Linked DNA regions of Lonchura striata. The protein of the gene in region 3 binds, or shares a complex with, the protein of the main gene of each other region. Links are inferred from orthologs where the notes say so. Each region holds a gene or a part of one and is shown on either strand. Other genes may lie near its edges. The genes, in order: TIMM10B, TIMM10 and TIMM22.

What was found.
Region 1: TIMM22 (region 3) and TIMM10B share a complex: the UniProt entries of both Homo sapiens proteins name them as parts of the TIM22 complex. The link is inferred for Lonchura striata from reciprocal best matches to the Homo sapiens genes TIMM22 and TIMM10B.
Region 2: the proteins of TIMM22 (region 3) and TIMM10 are in contact, whole or in part, in a cryo-EM structure (PDB 7CGP), measured with the Homo sapiens proteins. The link is inferred for Lonchura striata from reciprocal best matches to the Homo sapiens genes TIMM22 and TIMM10. Residues at the interface, in NP_037469.2 of Homo sapiens: Tyr25, Ser26, Leu28, Leu29, Gln30, Tyr31, Leu32, Val33, Arg40, Leu42, Leu47, Gly48, Glu67, Glu144, Ser145, Tyr146, Gly148, Ser150; in NP_036588.1 of Homo sapiens: Pro3, Ala6, Gln7, Leu9, Ala10, Ala11, Leu13, Glu14, Val15, Met17, Met18, Ala19, Tyr22, Ser44, Lys45, Gly46, Glu47, Arg53, His62, Glu63, Gly66, Leu69, Thr70, Ser73, Met74.

The regions. Positions count from the first base shown.
Region 1 is NC_134604.1:116,965,551-116,971,493, forward strand, and holds TIMM10B (mitochondrial import inner membrane translocase subunit Tim10 B), read left to right. Parts: upstream 1-4,445; 5' UTR 4,446-4,501; coding exon 4,502-4,540; intron 4,541-4,743; coding exon 4,744-4,839; intron 4,840-4,906; coding exon 4,907-5,104; 3' UTR 5,105-5,338; downstream 5,339-5,943. Other genes in the region: ARFIP2 (arfaptin-2), read right to left, coding at 1-94, 430-604, 679-836, 1,197-1,418, 1,533-1,648, 2,187-2,297, 3,193-3,301, 3,393-3,491; RRP8 (ribosomal RNA-processing protein 8), read right to left, coding at 5,899-5,943. UniProt on the Homo sapiens protein: Component of the TIM22 complex, a complex that mediates the import and insertion of multi-pass transmembrane proteins into the mitochondrial inner membrane.
Region 2 is NC_134608.1:53,145,189-53,150,899, forward strand, and holds TIMM10 (mitochondrial import inner membrane translocase subunit Tim10), read left to right. Parts: upstream 1-4,107; 5' UTR 4,108-4,262; coding exon 4,263-4,333; intron 4,334-4,838; coding exon 4,839-5,040; 3' UTR 5,041-5,100; downstream 5,101-5,711. Other genes in the region: ubiquitin-conjugating enzyme E2-18 kDa, read left to right, coding at 1-47; SMTNL1 (smoothelin-like protein 1), read right to left, coding at 343-487, 575-726, 801-903, 1,495-1,635, 1,730-1,763, 1,919-2,096, 2,370-2,471.
Region 3 is NC_134622.1:8,103,406-8,110,569, reverse strand, and holds TIMM22 (mitochondrial import inner membrane translocase subunit Tim22), read left to right. Parts: upstream 1-4,628; 5' UTR 4,629-4,654; coding exon 4,655-4,886; intron 4,887-5,235; coding exon 5,236-5,432; intron 5,433-6,405; coding exon 6,406-6,594; downstream 6,595-7,164. UniProt on the Homo sapiens protein: Essential core component of the TIM22 complex, a complex that mediates the import and insertion of multi-pass transmembrane proteins into the mitochondrial inner membrane. In the TIM22 complex, it constitutes the voltage-activated and signal-gated channel.

The DNA.
Region 1 (5,943 bases), on a different chromosome or scaffold from region 3:
GCTTGAGGGTCTGCTCAAGCTGCTGCTGGTTCCCAGCAAAGTACGCAGAGATGGCGTTGTGGAACAGCAGCAGTTGCTTGTGCATCACCTTGATCTGGGGGGGAGGGGATCATGACTGGGAGGGCCTGAGCCCACCCCAGCAGCACAGAAAAGGGCTTGGAAAGCCCTCTGAGGCCCCCCGAGTGCCACCACTCCCCCTCTGCACTGTCTGTTCCACCCAGTTCGTGTCTTCGAGTGACAAATGCAGCGTGGATGTCAAATCCCTGCAGGGACCCCATCCCTGTGCCCCCTATCTTTGCACTTCCCTCCCATCCCTGTCCCAAACCCCTCCTCCTCATGTGCCCCATCTCTGCATGCCCCACCTCTGTCTTGCATCTAGCATTCCTGTGCCCCCCATCCCCACCCCACACCTCCCATGTCTGCACCCACCTTGTTCTCCTCCAAGAATTTGAGCTTGATGGCCACGTCTGCCCGCAGCTTCTCGTACTTGTCCTTGTGGCTCTGGAACTGGCTCTGGGCAGCGTCCAGGCGGCTCACAGCGCCGGCGTCGCGCGGGCCCATGCTCAGCTCCTCCAGGTCCGTGCGGTACGCGTCATACTCCAACCTGCGCAGAGTCCCGGCATCACCGACCTGCCTCCAGCCCTCCCCGGAGCCCTGAGCCCCCCAGGGCTGGCCCACCTGGCCGTCTCATACTGCTTCACTGTCATGAGCGTGTCCTCCATGGTCTTGTTGACCAGCGTATTGATGCTGGACACAAAGAAGTTAACGGCGCCCAGCAGCGTCTCCCCGTTCTTGCACAGCAGCTTCTGCGTCTCCGCGTTGTACCCAAACTCCTCCTGGGGACAGAGGGATGGGGGCACAGGTGAAGGGCCACGGATCACATCCCCACTCCCTTCTGTCAAGGGTGCTGGGGGAAAAGCCCCGAGACCACCAAGGCCAAGCATGACGCAGCACCACCGAGGCCAGCACCAGCACAACAGCCACTCCTGTGCAGATCACGTTGCTGCCCTGGTGTCCAAGTGTGACTCCCCAAGTCCTGACCCCCACAACCCCAGTGTCAAACCCCAGCTACACCTGCCCCGCCCAGTGCCAGTGTCCAGGTGTCCCCTCCAAGTCTGGGTGCTCCCCATCCTCCCGCAGCCCTGGTGCCCAGGTGTCCTTGCCCTCACCCCAGCATCCCCCTAGCCCTGGCACACCTGGAGCTCAGGGGATTTCTGACTGAGGTCAGCAAAGGCGTCCCCCAGGGCGTGCTGGGTCTGTACGAGGCTGTAGAGGTGGGCCGTGAGCGCCCGTGCCAGGTGCAGGACGCTCTCGTACTTGCGTTTGGTCTCACGCAGCAGCTCAATCTGGGTCTCCAGCTCCAGGTCCACTGTGCGGGACCCCCGGCCGAAGCGCTCCGAGAGCAGCTGCTTGGTGCACTGCAGCAGGGGGACACAGGGCCCCAAGGCGCCTGTGAGTCCCCCGAGCCACACCGAGAGCAGCTCCTCATGGGAGGGGAGCAGGAAGGCCCACTGGTGTCCCCTCACACTCACCTTGTAGGTGTTGATCCCCCACTTCTTGACAATGTCGAACTTCTCAACGGCAATGCCGCGCACGACCTCTTCTCCACCAGGCGGGGGTCCTGGGGGTGGTGGGTGCAGCCCAGGGCCTGGCACAGGGACAGGAATATGGCACCAGCTGCACGAGGGCGGCAGCCACGGGGAACGGGCAGCCCCAGCCTCCAGAGCCCTTGTCCTGGAGCTGCTATTTCTACAACAGCATGCCCAGCTCCAGGCATATGCCCAGCACTGGCTCACAGGCATTGTGATGAGGACCCTGCTCCTGCCAGCCCCCCTGAGGGTCCCACACAGGGGCACAGATCCCAGCCCAGCCATATCTGCTTGCACCAAGCCCTGCCCCATTCCTGCCGACTGCTGTCACCAGGCTGGACACAGGGGGAACACTGCCCAGTAGTACTGGGAGCCCCTCAGGTGGGCTCCAGGGGCAGGGTGGGCCCCTCTGGCCAGGACCCACCTCTGAAACCCCTGGGCCCACCAGTGCTGTCGTCTGTCCCAGCACAAGGATCAGCCCCAGGACCAGGCTCTGGCCATGACACAGCCGCCATGGGGGTTCTTACCAACGTCCCTAGGGAGGCCCGGGGCCCCCAGACCCAAGGGACGCCCGGGGTGGAGTGGGGGGCGCAGTACCTGCGGGAGCCGCGGCCGGGCGGGCCATCCTACGGGCAGCAGGCGCGCTGGGGGCAACCGACGGTCCTCGGGGGGGGTGAGGGTGGACAAGAGAGCCTGGAAATGGGGGGGCTGCGGGGGCTGAGCAGTGTGGGGCAGGACAGGATGGGGGCACAGGGCATGGCACAGTGGGGTAGCCAGGGCAGAGGGACGGGGGGGCAAGGGACAGGGGCGAGTGCGCGGGCGGGCGGCAGCGGGAGAGCGACGGCAGCAGGTGAGCGTTGGAACCCAGAGACACTGCCACAGCCTCACAGACGGATGCCCCAGCCCAGGAAACCCCCACCTCTGGCCCCTGTGCAGGAACCCCTGCACTCCAAGGGCTGGGTAGGCCTGGCATCACGAGCACGCTGGGACACAGAGACACAGGGACACCGGGCCAGCAGTGGCGGTGCTCCGGGGAAGTGCACACCCGTGCAGTCTCCCTCTCTGCCCATATGGACCTTCCTCAGGCCCTGGGGAAGATCTCTCAGGGAGAGATCTGCATGGAACAAGGACAGTGCTGCCAGGTCTCCCAGGGTGCAGAGCCCAGCTGGCCCCGCTGTGGCCCGGTCTGACTGGGACAGCAAGAAGGGGTCAGCAGAGTGTGGGCTTGTGCCCCTGCCTGCCCCCTCATCCCCAGCACACTCCAGAGCTCCCGCTGCACATGGACCAGGACACAGCAGGGATCCTCCACCAAGCAGGGATTCAGAATCTCACGGGGATGTCCTGACCAAGGGGATGGAAATTCCCAGCAGAGCCCACCCTGTGACAGGGGAGCAGCCCAGGGAGAGCGGAGCTGGGGCAGCAGCCCCTCCTCTGCCATCAGTGCACACTGCCACATGCTGCCCCTACACAGAACCCAAGCCCACCCAGGAGCCACCTCGGCCAGGCTGTGGCACAGCCTCGTGTCATGAGTCAGGGGCACTGAGAAGAGATGAGCCCCTTGGTCCCACGATGGCCCCATTCCCTCCCAGCCCAACTCCACTACCTTTGATGGTGCCGGTGGGGATGATGCCCTCAGCCGTGCCCCCGTAGCCACCTGACACAATGCTGGTCTCATTCAGGTTGGGTCCTGACACCATCACCTGCTGCAGGTCCTGGGGGGCAGAATAGCACAGGGGCTGAGAGGCAGAGATGGCACAGCCCTGGTACAACCCAAACACCCCCTAGGGTTCCCGAGCTCCAGACCTGCTCCAGGCCATCGTCCTCGGGCAGGCTGCTGGTGTCCCCGTTGCTGCTGATGGGGATCTCCATGGTGGCTGCCTTGCTCAGGATCCCGTCCGACATCCTCAGGGCCTGCAGGGACACGGCCGTGGTGCTGGGGCCAGGACCACCGCCCGGCCGGGGGCAGCAGCCACAGCCGGTACTGCGGGGCCGTGTTGGGACAGCAGGAGGCTTCGGCGCAGAGAGAAGGGCCCACATCGGCAGCCGCTGGCACCGAGCAGAGGCTGCCCGCTGCCTCCTGCAGCCACTCCCAGCCCGGCCCCACCGTCTCTCGGGACACCCCCGGCCCCCAGAACCGACCCGTGGGGTGGCACATCCCAGAGACCGCTGCGGCTCCCACACCATCACGCCAGGGCTCCAGGGCTCCCCCGCCCCTCGGGCCGCACTCCGTGCCCCCTCTCACGAACCCTGCCGGGATCCCCGCAGTCCGTGCCCCGGGACAGCGGCGCTGGCAGCGCGCAGCGCGGCGCCGGGAGCCACGTCCGCAGGAGAGCGGGAGGGGGCCCGCTGCGCTCGGACCGGTCCGGGCACATTCGACAGCAGGCGGGGCCCGGGGCGGGCTCCCGAGAACCCGTTACCTGCGACCTGTGCCCTCCCCGGCGGGGACAGGGCCCGGCCCAGCGCGGGGGGCGAGCCCTGCGGGCAGAGGCTGTCACCGCCCGGGGCCATCCCGGCCGCGGAACGGCCCCGCAGCCCCACAGCCCCCGCGGCGGGCGGGGGCAGCGCCCGCACGGAGCCCTCCGCAGCCACGCACGGCAAGGCCCCGGGACGGGACCGACCTCCGAGGGAACCCCCGGTGGCCGCTCCCGGCGGAGCCGGCCCGAGCGGGCGGCGGCGGCCGCAGCCCGGCTCCCGGGGCTCTCTCGGCCAGGCCCCGCTGGCCGTGCGCGGCCCCCCGGTGCCCCCCAGCCCCACCTGCGCCCCGGCCCCGCCGGGCCCCCCGCGCCGCTCCCGCTCCGCTCGGCCCGGGCGCGCCGCAAGTGCCGTCAGGGCCCGGAGGTGGCGTCATGGCTGAGCCGGGCGGATGTGACGGCGCGGGGAGTGCGGCGGGAGCGGCCCGGGCCGGGCCCGGCATGGACCCGGCGGCCGAGCACCGGCAGCAGCTCCGCAGCGTGAGCCGGGGGCGGCGTGTCCCGCCAGGCCTTCGGGGGGGTCCCGGGGCTCCAGCTGGGGGGTCGCGAGGTGCCGGGGTCGCAGGAGAGCCGGCGGGGCCCTGGAAGGGACTCGGGCTGGCCGGGGGGCGCGCCGGGACTCGCGGTGGGTTTCGGGGGTACCGGAGCGGCTCCGCCCGGTGTGATCCGCGCCTGCTCCCCAGCTGCGGGATTTCCTGCTGGTCTACAACCGCATGACCGAGCTCTGCTTCCGCCACTGCGTCTGCAACCTCAACTACCGGCTGCTCACGGGCCGCGAGGTGAGCGGGGCCCGGGGGCCGCGGGCCGGCTGCCCCCGCGCCCCCTGACCCCCGCCGTGCCCCGCAGGAGTCGTGCCTGGACAGCTGCGCCGCGAGGCTGGTCCGCGCCAACCACCGCCTGATGGGCGCCTACGTGGGACTGGTGCCGGCGCTGCTGCAGCGCCGCGCAGCCGAGCACGGCGCTGCGGCGGGGCCGCCCGCACTGCCGGCCTCCCCTGGACCGGCCCCGGGCCCCGCGGAAGACGCTCCCGCTGCCGGCACGTAGAAGCCCCTGGCCGCAGCTCCCCGCGGCCGTCGGACGCAGCAGCAGCCCTGCTGCGCTGGAGCTCCAGGCTGGAGCAGCATCCGCGCTGGGCCCCCGGAGCCCCGAGCAGCGGCTGGGCTATGCAGGGCACCGAGGATGGGGGGCACAGGAACAGGGGAAGGCCCCCCCTAGCCCTCCTGGCTGTGGATTTCTGGGAAGTGGAGTGTGAATACCAATAAAACATCTTCACAGTAATGGCTTAGTGTGACACGTGGGGAGGGCACCAGAGCCCTGGCCCCTGTTCGCTGCTGTGTGAACCCATGGCACAACAGGGAATCCAGGGAATTGCACCTCACTGGGAGACAAATGTCTCCCTACAGGACGCCCGTGATCACCGGGACATTGCAGGGCCCTGAACATTCTCACTGCAACTGTCAGGTGCAGAGCAGGCACTCAGGGCAGGGGGAGGGGGCAAGGTGGGGGTAGATGTCAGGTGCTGCCAGGCCAGTGCCCACCAGCTAAGGGCGTGTGTATGCGTGGTCCCTAGGAGATCCTGGCCTCTTCTCTCCCTGCTGCAGCCCCTGGGCAGAGGGCGTGAGCTGCGGGTCCGGGACAGGCCTTAAGGCAGGTAAGCACAAGCCCCAGTACAGAAATAAATTGATATATTCCGTGTACAAAACATGCTCCTGCAGGCCCGGCCGGGCACTCCCGCGCATATAAATAAGGCCCGGCCCGACCTCCCCTCTGTCCTGCCCACGGGGGCCAGCGCCTGCGCCGGGGCCACCCCTCCCGCGGGACCCCCGGGCTGGCCGGGGTCACTTAAGGTCCACATCGAAGTCCAGCACCAGCAGCTTGGTCTC
Region 2 (5,711 bases), on a different chromosome or scaffold from region 3:
AACACGCCCGGCTCCACGCCGAGCCGCGCCCCGACCCCCACGCATAAAGCAATAAATTCTCTCCATCACCTGCTCTGGCTCCGTGGTGCCTCACTGGGAAAGTGGGGGGGCTCCAGGAGTTGCTGCCCTCCACGTGCCAGCCCTGCGGGATGTCACCCTCCTGGTGGCAGAGCCAGGGCTGTGCCCCAACCTGGTGACAATGCCCAGACACTCGCTTGGTGCCAGCGTTCCTCCCTCCAGAGACGAAGCCACCACCTCCTGGAACCATGGCCTTTACTGCTGGGGGACAGAGCAGGGGACGAGGAGGGGGATGGTTCAGGCGGGGGGCTGTGAGGGACCCTCTCAGCGCTTCTTGGTCTTCACGAGCCCTTTGGCCACCAGGCAGCGGTACAGCTCCTGCACGTACGTGTACACACACTTGGCGTCGGGCACCGGCAGCCGCACCATGTCCTCCACCTCCAGCAGGGGGGCACAGCCCGCCCGCTCCCTGCGGGAAGGGACACAGCGGTCACCGGGGCCGGGGGTGGCCGGGGGTGGCCGGGGGCACCGAGGGGCCGGGGCTGCGCTCACGCACTCGGCAGTGGCGAAGGCCAGGGCGAAGTTGTCCCGGCGGGAGTTGGGCTCCAGGGCGGCGAAGTCGAAGGCGTCGGGGAAGAAGCTGTGCAGGAGCGCGCAGAAGGCCAGGCCGCTGCCCCAGCTCCCCGAAAAGTTCTGCACGTCCACGTGCTGCGCAGACAGGGGTGTCAGGCCACGCCCGGACCCCCCACCGGACCCTCCTGCCGCCCCCCAGATGCACTCACCGGGTACCCACGGGTGCGGGCGCGGCACCACTCCAGCAGCATCATCTTGACCGTGGCAGCCCCCCCTGAGCGCCGCAGGTGTGGGGCTGGGCCCTTGGCAGCCCTGGGGAGACCTGGGCTGTGGGATCCCCACACCCCACCGTCCCTCATAGGGACCCCAGCCCCTCTGTGACCCCGTGGCTTTGGACCCCCAACGCCCCACTTGCCCCATGGTCACACAGCCCCCCCTGTCCCACCCCCCCACAGTGCTCTATGGACCCCCCATTCCTCCCTGTACCCCTCATTGCCCCATGCCCCCCGATATCCCGTGTCCCATACCCTCCCTCATTGCCTCATGCCCCCCGATATCCCGTGTCCCATACCCTCCCTCATTGCCCCATGCCCCCCAATATCCCGTGTCCCATGCCCTCCCTCACTGCCCCATGTTCCCCCTGTACCACCATTGCCCCTCAGACCCCCAGTTCCCTTATGACTCCATTGCCCTGTGCCCCCAATACTGCCACTCTCCCATGCCCCTGCCATGCCCCCCAATTTCCCCTGTCCCTCCCATTGCCTCATGACCTTCCAACACCCCCACTACTCCATGACCCATCCATCTCACTGTCCCTGGCTGTCCTACAGCCCCCACAAGACCCCAGGTCCCCCATTCCCTCAATGCCTCTCCTGCCCCCCCACAGGGCCAGGCCCTCCTCACCCTCCAAACTTCTCCAGGATGGCGCTGCGCCCCTGTGCCCGGGTCCCCACTCGTGGCCGTCCCCCTGCTCCCTCCAGCCTCAGCCTCTGTCCCGCTGAACCGGGGGCTGCCTTGTCCCGCGTCCCCCCTGCTGGAGCACCCCTGCAGACACACACGGGTGGGACAGCCATGAGCAGGAGGCTGTGGGGGGCCATCCCTGCCGTGGGGTACTGGGATGCCACCTGTGGGGACACACCTCTTGCTGCCCCCCGTGTCCTCGGCAGTGCCAGCTGCAAGGAGAGAGGAGGGGTCAGAGGGTGGAAGAGGGCACCCACACCCCCCTGGCACCTCTGGGGCTCAAGGTCCCCTCCCAAGAGGAGGATGGACACTGTGGGGCAGCAGTGACCCCAGAACACTTGGGTGCCATCGCCCAAATGTCTCTTACCTGTGGGGGACGCTGGGGATGCTGGGGACACAGGGGACATAGGGGATGTGGGAGATATAGGGGACATGGGGGACGTAGGGGACGTGGGGGACGTGGGGCTGGTGGCCCCCTCTGGGGATGAGCAGGGAGGGAACTCAGGCCACAGCTCATCGTCCTCGTCCTGAAGCCAAGTGGGTTCCTGTAAGGAACAGGCAGGGTGGCACTGCCAGCACGGTCAGTGTCACTCACACAATGTCCCTGGCACAGTCATCCTGGCCCTGGCACTCTCACCCTGCCCCAGTAAAGTCAACTCTGTCCCCATCTGTACCGCAGCTGCCCTCCCCACCACCTCCTGCCCCGGTTGTGCCGCCACCTCCCTTCCAGCCCCTCCTCACCTTTTGACGCCGGGTGTTGCCAGTTGCTGCCGGGGCCGCTTTTCCCTCGGTACCCTCCTCGGTCCCCTCCTCGGTACCCGCTCCGGTGCCCCCGGCTGTCCCTGCCTCGGCATCACCACCACCATCCCCGGCCTCTCCGGCATCGTCCCCGGCACCCCTGGGTGCTTCTGCCCCGCCATCCCCGGCAGCCTCTCCCCCCGCGCACCTCCCTGAGCCCCCCGTATCCTCCCCTTCACCCCCCGTGTTCTTCCCTTCACCCCCCGTGTCCCCCGCATCGCCCCCCGCTTCCCGAGCTTCCTCCCCATCCCGGGGAGCCGTCGCCTCCCCGCTGCTCTCCCCCGGCCCCGCGGCGGGGTCAGAGGGGGTGTCCGGAGTGGGGCTACTGGGGGTGGGGGTGCCGGGGGTGGGCGTGCCGGGGGTGGGGGTCTCCGAGGTGGGGGTGCTCGCGGTGGGGGTGTCCGAGGTGGGGGTCTCAGCGTCTCCCAGAGCCTCCATGTTGCTGCGGTCACTGCTGCAGGGGCACAGGGCTCGATGACGCCGTGGGCTTGCCCGTGCCCCCCATAGCCCCCCAGGCCGGCTAACCCCCCTCCTGCCCCTGCCCCCACGCCCTCCTCCAGCCCCGGCACTCCCACATTGGGCACCCCAGTTACCCCACCCCGACTCCCCCATGCCCCGTCCCGGCACCGCCACAGCACAGCCCGGTCCCTTCACGTCTTCCTGCAGCCCCCCACGCCCCAAACCAGCCCTCCCACTGCCCTCATGCCCCGTGTCAACACCCCTGTGCTCCCTCCTGCCCCCGTGTCCCATCTCGACCACCCATATCTCATCCCGGCACCGGCACGTCCCTCTCCCGGCCCCTCGTGTCTTCTCCGTGCCCTCCGGTTCCCGCTGCCGGCCCCCTATAACCCGTTCCCGGTCTCCCTTGCTGCCCGCCGGTCTCCTGCCCGGTGCCCCCCAGCCCGCAGGCTCCCGGCCGCTCCCGTTCCACCCCCGCCTGGCGTGGCCCCGTTGTTCCCGGAATCCCCCGGAGCCCCTCGGCCCGTACCCTCCGGCTGCTGCCGCTCCGCCGCCCCTGCTGCGCCCCAGCCCCCCCGCCCGGCGCTATTTTTACCCGGCGGGGGCAGGTGCCGCCTTCACTCACCGCCCACCCGCGGGGCACGCGTGGGGCCGGGCCGGACACCCGGCCATGGCTGGGGCGGGGGGACAGTCCCATAGCCCCACCCGGACAGCGGCGACACCCCAAAGCAGCCACCGGGTGGGGACCGAACCGTGCCACCCGAGGGGCACAGAGGACACGGACGCCCTGGGCAGGGACAGGGAGACTTGGGGGTCACAGGCAGACGGACGAGGGGGGGAACACAGACACGCGGGGGACACGCGGGGGATACGGGCACACGCGGGACGTGGGGAGCGCGGGGGGAACAGATTCCCGAGGGGCAATGGGGGACACAGACACGTGGGGACACAGATGACACGGGGACAGCCCGGGCAGGACGGCGGGACACAGGAGGACCCAGGGACACGAGGAACGGGACACAGGGGAGGGACCCGAAGCCCCCCGGCCGTGCCCGGGTGAGGTCCCGGCGGTGGCCACGCCCCCTCCCGCCAGGCCACGCCCCCTCCTCGTGACCACGCCCCCTGCGGGGCAAAGGCCGGGCAGAGCGCGCGCTCCGCCGCTCCCTCCCGCCGCTCGGCAGCCGCCGCCACGCCCCTTCCGAGGGACCAATCAGCGACAGATGCGCACCCCTGGTCCCGCCTCCGCCTGCACGCGATTGGTCAGCGCCGGCGCCGGGGCGGGGCCAGCGCGCGGGTGGGCGGAAGCGCGGCGCCCACGTGGTTCCTGCAGGGAGCCGCCGCCGGGTCCCGAACCGAGCGGGACCGAGCCGGTCCAACGGGGCGGATCCGAGCGGGGTCGGGCCCAGAGGGACCGCCATCGGGGCTGAATCCGAACGGGGCCGGTGCTGGCCGCTATGGATCCGCTGCGGGCTCAGCAGCTGGCGGCCGAACTGGAGGTTGAGATGATGGCCGACATGTATAATCGGTGAGGCCCGCCGGGAGGGAGCATTGGGGGCGTTGGGGTACCGTGGCTTGGGGGACACTAGCGCGTGTCAGAGGCAGTGGGGGACCCCGGGGTGCTGGGGTTGTAGGGGAGTGCGGGGGTCCTAGGGGACACCCGGGAAATGGGGAAGGAAACCGGAGATGCCTGAGGATGTGGGACGGCGGGGGGTCCTAGGGGTGCCCGGGTGGTGATGATGGAGGATACTGGGCTTGTTGGGGTGCAGAGGCCGGGGTCCCGGTCGGTGAGGATGCGGGTACAGGAGGTGTTGGGGTGCAAGGGCTGGGGATGCCGGGGATGGCGATAACGGGGGGTACGGGGGGTGCTGAGCTGCGGGGCTGGGTCCCGGGGGTGGTGATGGCAGGGTACCGGAGATGTTGGGGTGCGGGGTCGGGGTCCTGGGGGTGGCAATGGCGGGGTACAGGGTGTGCTGGGGTGCGGGGCCGGGTCCCGGCTGGCGCGGGGCTCAGGCGCGGTGCGGTCCGTGCAGGATGACCAAGGCGTGCCACCGCAAGTGTGTCCCCCCGCACTACAAGGAGTCGGAGCTGTCCAAAGGGGAATGCGTGTGCCTGGACCGCTGCGTGGCCAAGTACCTGGAGGTGCACGAGCGGATGGGGAAGAAGCTGACGGAGCTGTCGCTGCAGGACGAGGAGCTGCTCAAGCGAATGCAGCAGGGCAGTGGCACTGCCTGAGCCCCCACCCGTCACCCCAATAAACCTGGGGCATCTGCTGTGCTCCCCTCGCCTCCCAAACCCACCCTGTGGCCATGTGTTGGGGTACGTGCTGCCCGTGATTGCTGCTGGGAGCCCCCCCTTGTTGTCACCAGCTGCCACGTGCCATGTCCTTGTGGGGGGCACCCAAGGGTGCCCCCCCTGGCTGGGCCCAGCCCGTGTAATCCCCTGGATTAGGTAGAGCTGGGTTGAGCCCCTTGTAATCCCCAGTGGGGTGGGACAGGGCTCAGCCCCTCCCTGTCTGTCTGTGCTGAGGGTCACCAGAGGGGACAGCCAAGGACCCTGCACAGGGACACACAGCCCCCGAGGGGCAGGGCACAGGGACACTCCCAGAACACCCAGCCCTGTTTGAGGATACACAGATGGGACCACGTGGGGACAACCCAGGTACACCTCTGCCTGGGAAAGACCACAGGGGAGGGGGCATGGGGACACTCACATGGGGACAGTCTGCACCCACACAGACGGACACCGCCACACAGCCCCGGGGACACTTGGAGGGGACATAAACACCCAGCGAGTTACACCTGCTGAAGGACACCCCACGCTGCGCGAGGGACACCTGCCGAGGGGCAGCCCGGGGTGCCACACGCCCAGAGGCACCGAGGGCAGGGGGTGGGCGCTGTCCCTGC
Region 3 (7,164 bases):
TTGGGGAGCTGGAAACCTTTTACCAGCAAGAAATTCTTACAGCAGTTACCATGGTGACTCTGGTAATAGATATTTAAAGGCAGCTCACTCATAATCACATTCACTAGATATCAGGAGGCTTTAGTAAGAGAGGCACAAAAAGCTTGAAACCAGGGAGCCTTCCAGGCTTGGTGATGGTATAAGAAATTTATAGGGAGGGATCTGCTTATCCCATTGTTTAGCTGGACACAAAGGGCTCCTGTTCAAATCTGGAATGGCACTGAAGCTTGCAGAATAAACTATTTTTAGTTTGTCAACTTAAAAAATTATTCTGAAAGACTCATTTCAATCATGGTACTTCAATAAATCCTTTCAGAGTGGTCATTGCCAGAAATATAAGAAATAGCTGTGCCACAGCTCCATCCCCCATTAGAGCCAGGCTGCTGGGAATCTCCTGGTCTGCCATCACCTGGAAACTCAAATCTGGATAAAGCTTTCTGAGTTGAAGAGGTTTGTTTGGTTATACAAACATTAAATAATTTATTTCTTTAGGTCTGAGTCCACAGCTTTCCAATCCACTACAACACAGCCAAGAGAATCTGCAGAAGCAGATCTCCAGTTAGGGAGCCACTTCACCAGGCTGCCTAAGCCTGTGTTACAGTCATCAAACTGAGATTTCCTTTCTCTTTTTGCTGCATATTTCCATGACAACTTTCCTGCAGTATCAACTTCTTTCTATTGGAAAGGTCTCTCAAAGAGAATTTAGGCTTCTATAGCAACAGCTGAAAGCCCTGGAAGATGATGATGCCTGAAACTTTTTTTTAGACCACACAAGTGTGTTTTAAATTTTATAGATGAAAACAAAAATATGTGTAATATTGGGTAAACTGTGAAGAGAAGAAGTACCTTGCTGAAGTGGAACAAACACAAAGAAACCACCTACTTTCAAAAGGGATGCAGACTTTGAGATCTAAAACACTGGAGAGAGCAGACAGGATCAAACACTCATCTTGAAAAGCCACATCCTGTTCCTTCTCTCTGAGCTACAAAGCACAGTCACAAGGAACGAGTCTGCTGATCCTAAAAAGAGATTTTAGCCCAAGATCTCTCTCTGCAGCCTATTTTATACTGAACTAAAGCAAAAAAAACCCAAAAAAAAATTGGAAAATCAGTGAGTCAGGATTCCTTTTGAGTTTTAACTCCAATACACCTGCCACCTACCTATAACCTAACCTTTTTCTTAGTACTTTAGCTGTTTGCCATGGTAGTGACACAGTATTTTCCAATACTGAAAGCTTTAGGAAACAAAAAAAACTTCAGAAGAAAAAAAAAGCCCTGCTGCACTCTCAACCAAATAAATTTGCTAAACTCAAAAGCCAAGGAAAGTGTAGAAGCTGAAGCAGCTTTCCTTCACTGAAATAAGATGTATTTCACAAAGCACTTCACTTCTCCAGTACACTTCCAAACTTAGTTTTTTAAAGAAGAAAAAAAATACAAAACATCACATTCACAAGGTCAAGGAGAAGTAGGAAAGGATGAAATTTAATGTATAGATGAGAATGCCAAAGGGTGGAAATGAAGCCCAGCAGGTCCCAGCACCTTCCCTTTTGCAGCCACTGGAAACCTCTTTGTACACAACAAGTGAGATCAGCAGTGTGAGCACCTCAAAGAAGCCCCACTTTCTTCTGCTTATAGAAATTAAACGTTTTTCCTTTTTCCATTAAAGTACCCATTAATTTATGTCCTCTGTCATTCACCCCTACATCATGACAGTTCTGATAAGGATAAAAAAGTGTCCACAGGTAAGAATGAGTGAAAAAGAATGCATTTGATCTAATTCTGGTTGACTTCCACCTTCAGTCACTTCTTGACCAGCTGAATAACTTCAGAAAACACTCTGGAACTGGCAGTTTGACAAAATAAAAGTTGGGGACTGTAAAAACTGATTTTTATTTTTTTAATAGCACTGCTAGAGTCTATTCAAAACCTGGGAACCCTGCAACCAAGACATATGCAAAACCAGGATTTCTGACAAACCCCTCATTATTTCCAAGATTTATCCTGTCTGGAGAAGACTGAAGCGTGGGAGTCACTGAGTCACTGCAAAGGTCAAGTGAATTGCAATTATTCAGTGTCACCGTGTGCTGCCCTCTGCTGAAACAGGCACCGAGCTCCTTGGAGCAGCACAAAAACTCGGGATCATCTGTGCCCGCTGCTGCCCGAATTCAAAATGTTTCATTTTGTGGGACTGGGCAAGGTTAAAAATAACCTGAGCTCTTGCACCGGACTGAAGAGCTCCAGGGTAAAAGAGTGGCTTAGGGACAGCAGTCAGGGAGAAGGAAGAGGGTTGGATGCATCACCCTGCAGTGATGGAGGTTCACAGGCTTGGAAAAAAGAACCAGCTGAAAGTTTCATTTCAGCATCTTGTTTATCAAAGGTGTTGAACTCTCATATTACCTCTCAAATCCTTAATCCTCCATCTGATTTCACCTACACGAAAAATCTGTTCAGGCAGATGAGATTATTCAAATACTCAAGCACCAGAATTTGTTCATGTGTAGAACAGAATGGGAAGAGGAGAAAACTATTAAATATCGAAGGGAAAAAAATAACATCTAATTACACATTAATATCCATAAATAAGTATATTTTATAGAATCATATTTACAAAATTCTTGCTTAAATATTTTATTTACAACTAGTAACCCAGCATTTTCTCCAAAATGCAGGGAAAGGGCAAATAAAGTCAAAGCAATATTTAAACTATACATATAAACTCTCAGTGCTGAAATTCCCAATCCAACATATATGTTTTTTTCCCTTTAGGCCTTTAGAAATTAGGCTTTGCTGTGTGACTTCGACATCATCCCAGCAAGGTTATTTTGGATCAAAAAGATTGAAATCTTAAGTTGAGGGTTCCTTAGGGAGATCATCCTGCCAGCAACCTCCCCTACCTTGTCAAGATGCTGCTGGAGTAGATTTTAACCACGTGCTTTTTCATGGGATTTGACCTCAAAAAAATTAAAAAAAAAAAAAAATAAAGAAAAGGTGGGAGGAATACTCCCAAACAAATAAACAAAAATCCCAAACAAACAAAAAACTCCATTATTAAAAAAACCCCAAGGACGAAAAAAAAAAAGCAAAAGAGGGAATAGCAGTGGGCAGGTGGGCCCTGCTGGTGCAGCCAGCAGAGGGCAGTGGGATTTACAGGAAAGTTGTTGAACTTCGTCTGATGAAGTATTTGAAGTGATAAAATTATCCATTTAAATTTTTATTTGAACCTACCTACAGAAAGATTTAAGCAAGATAGAGAAAAAAGGATCAAAATGGAAAAGAAAATTTATTAGTTTAGGACCTCTAAAAAGTCGTGTTTCAGGGTATCAGGATGATTTCATACCAATGCATCATTTACTTAATTTTTTAAATAATTTTCAATTACTGAAATACAACAATTCCATGCATCCTATTGAAACCAAGAAAACTATTTCTCATAGATTTTAAAACCTATGGGTTACTTAAAATAGAAAAATATCAAATAAGAAGAAAGATATTTTTAAGGCACACCAATTGTCACTTTTGAAGATGAAAACTGGCTGTAGTCCACAAGAACAAGAAAGTAAAAGAGGTGAAGAAAAAAAAGAAACACAAGCAAGGAACATAGACTTTTTTAATGCTCACTGCACCTTGCTTACCAAAAAGGAAAAGCAACATTTCTCACCTTATCACCAAACGGAACAAGCCCCCCAGAGCTTGGGGTTGTCCGTGATTTGACACGAGCATTTTGTGATGGAACACTGTGGGTATTTTCAGCGCACATGTCCCGAAACAACACCGCTGCCCTGCGCCAGAGGAGACCGAGCTGTCCCGGGGCTCCGGCGGGGCACAGCCCTTGCCAGGCTGCGGTGCCCTGGGCCGTGCTGCCCCGCCGGGACCGCGGGCATCCCCCGTGCCCTCAGAGCCCCGCCGGGACCGCGGGCATCCCCCGTGCCCTCAGAGCCCCGCCGGGACCCTGCGGGCATCCCCCGTGCCCTCAGAGCCCCGCCGGGACCCTGCGGGCATCCCCCGTGCCCTCAGAGCCCCGCCGGGACCGCGGGCATCCCCCGTGCCCTCAGAGCCCCGCCGGGACCCTGCGGGCACGGCCACCCCACGCCCCGCGCGGGACCTGTTGCCCTCAGACACCGCCGGCGGGGACACCGCGCCCGCTGCCCGCACCTCAGCCAGGGCACAGGGACCGCGTCCCGCACTGCGGCACCTCAACGCTCCCCCAGCACGGGGACGCCCGGCGCGACGCTGCCGGTTCTCCCCGGCCCAGCCGGTCCCCCCGCGCTGCCCTCAGCGCCCCGCGCTCACCTGCAGCCGCCGCCGCGCTCGGGGATGCTCCGCAGCCGGAGCCCTCACCTCACCTGCACCGGCCGCCAGGGGGCTGCTGCGCGGCACGCCGGGTAATGTAGTCCCCTGCATGCCCGGGACGGCCAATCCCCGCGGCGCGCCGCGGAACGTGCCGGGAGTGGTAGTTCTGTCCGGAGGTGCCGGCGCGGGGCAGACTGGGAGGTGTAGTCAAAGCGTAGCGGTGCGCAACAGGCTTCTCCCCGCTGCGGAACTACAACTCCCGTGCGCCCCCGCCGCGGCGGCTCTAGCGGGCCCGGACGCGGCGCCGAGGGTGTGCGAGCCCATCATGGCGGCCCCGCCGCCCTCAGCGCCGGGAGAGCCGGCACCGCCGCCGCCGCCGCCGCCGCTGCAGTACAGCCTCCTGCTGCAGCACCTCGTGGGCGACAAGCGGCAGCCCCGCGTCTGGGACCCCGCCATCCTCGGCGGAATCCCCTGCCCGCCCAAGAGCGAGGAGCAGAAGATGGTGGAGCGGGTCATGGAGAGCTGCCCCTTCAAGGCGGCGCTGGCTTGCGTGGGAGGTGCGGCCGCTGGAAGGACGGGGCGGGCACCTGTGGGGTCGTTCGGGGGTCCCTGTGGGGTCGGGAAAGGGAAGGATGGAGAAGAGGCTGCAGTCCCCGTGTTTGATTTTCCTCCCGTGCCTGTCACATGTCGCAGGCAGGGATCTGTGTCTGCCTTCCTTGGCGAGGCACAGGCGCTCACGGCTTTCCTCACACAGCACGGGCTGTCACAAGTGGCCATGGCACCGAGAGATTCCTGCCCTGTCACAGTGCAGCGCTCACGCACAGCAGGAGCAGAGCCGCCTCACTCCCTGCAGGGAATGTGCTGCTCCAACCCAGCCCTGTTAATTCCGCTGTTTATCTTCCACAGGATTTGTTCTGGGAGGTGCGTTCGGTATCTTCACAGCTGGCATTGACACCAACGTGGGGTTTGATCCCAAGGATCCCTATCGCACGCCCACGGCCAAAGAGGTGCTCAAGGACATGGGGCAGCGAGGCATCTCCTACGCCAAGAACTTCGCCATCGTGGGTGCCATGTTCTCCTGCACGGAATGCGTGGTAGAATCTGTGAGTAAGAGCCTACCCAACCATTAAAAAATGATTTCTGGTACTCTTTAACATCTTTTGCTAGATCCAAATAAGTACATATATCCTGGAATGGGCTGCTTTGTTCTTTCTTGGCCAGCAAAGCTTTTCAGCTTTGAGATCTGTCTTCAGAGCTGCTGTTCTCTGACAGAATGAAGAACACTTTTGCAATAGCAAAGTCCTTTTCAGTTTTAAGTCCTAAATGTATTGGCAAGCATAGGCATTACTTTTTAAAGCCTAGCTACAAGTGCTTGTGTAAAATGTCAAACTGTGAGTTGCAACATGGTAATTTGAGTGTCTAAAAATTCCATATGTAAAAAGGGATCATTTGATGCAAGTTCTTGAGTAACAGGCCAGTTTTCATCTGGCCCCTACAGTCAGAAATGACCTTTTGCAGCTCAGTGGTAAATCTATCATCTGGGGTTTTTTTTAATAGGAAAATTACCCTGTTACGAATTTGAGTCCTGTCTTTTAATTGAAAGGCACAATTACTTCTTAACTCATCTAGAAGAAAACCATATCTGCTTGCACAATGGAGCAGAACAAAGAGATCTGTGCACTGGTGAAAATCCAGCATGTCCTGGCTATGGAAATAGTCCACCTTTGTCAGCAGCTGCTGTGACTCACCTGTGCCAAGGACCAGGGCTGCTCTGATGTAGTTATTGCACTTTTAGACTCAGGGCTGTGTTCTGGGGGCTGTCCTGGCTCTCCTGAGGATCTTTGCCACAGCACTGCATTGCACCGTATGGATTTGTCTCACCTCTCCCAGTTACCTGCTCCTTCCTCCCTTCCCGGCCCTGCAAGGCTGGGAGTGCAGGGCCATCTGCTGAGAGCAGAGGGAAGAACATCCTCAGCTGAGAAGGGGATGGAAGAAGGTCGTTTAACCTTGCTGCTAGCAGAGATACCGAGTATTTATTCCATATTTACTTGTTGGCTCTGATTTGTAATTCCACAGTATCGTGGGAAGTCAGACTGGAAGAACAGCGTTATCAGTGGCTGCATCACAGGAGGAGCCATCGGCTTCAGAGGTTGGTGCTGCCTGCTGGGAACTGTTTCTGTGATAAGATTGAAGTTGGTTATGCAGCACACGATGTTCTTAGTGCAGCACACACACCACAAACCTCTTTGCATGGGGTTGTGGTGATGCCAGCATGAGAGTGTGCTCCAGACTGGCAGAACTGTCAGCTCCAAGAATAAGTGGGGATAAGGAAGGGTTGGTCATAGAGGAAAATCAACAAAATTCACTTGAAAGAAAGTCAGGAGATGGTGGTGGCTGTCCACACTTTTCTGTGGTGTCATGGGAGAGAGCCAAAAATACATACAGAAGCTCTCGTGCTAACTGAGCTCTACACATCTACCATTTCACTGTCTCTGCTTTGAAATTAGTACTCTCCTTTGAAATTAGAACTAAAGAACTCTCTTCTTTTGTACCACATGTGAAATGCTTTTCTTCTTTCTCAAGTATCAGTTCAAACAGACAATTCTACTTACGTGTAAACAAGAAGTGGGGTTTTAGTCCAGCAGCACTAGTGGAGACTTTTCCTTTAGTGGTAACATCTGGAAAAATGCCTAAGTAGGAGAGAGCTGCTCTGCTCATCAGAAATAGCAAACTTCTCTCACTCTCCTTAAGAAAAAAAACTGTTCTGTTTTATGGAGCATAAATTAAAAGAAAGCTTTTAAAAGTGCTTCTAATTGAGCTTGTTAAGTTGTGTCT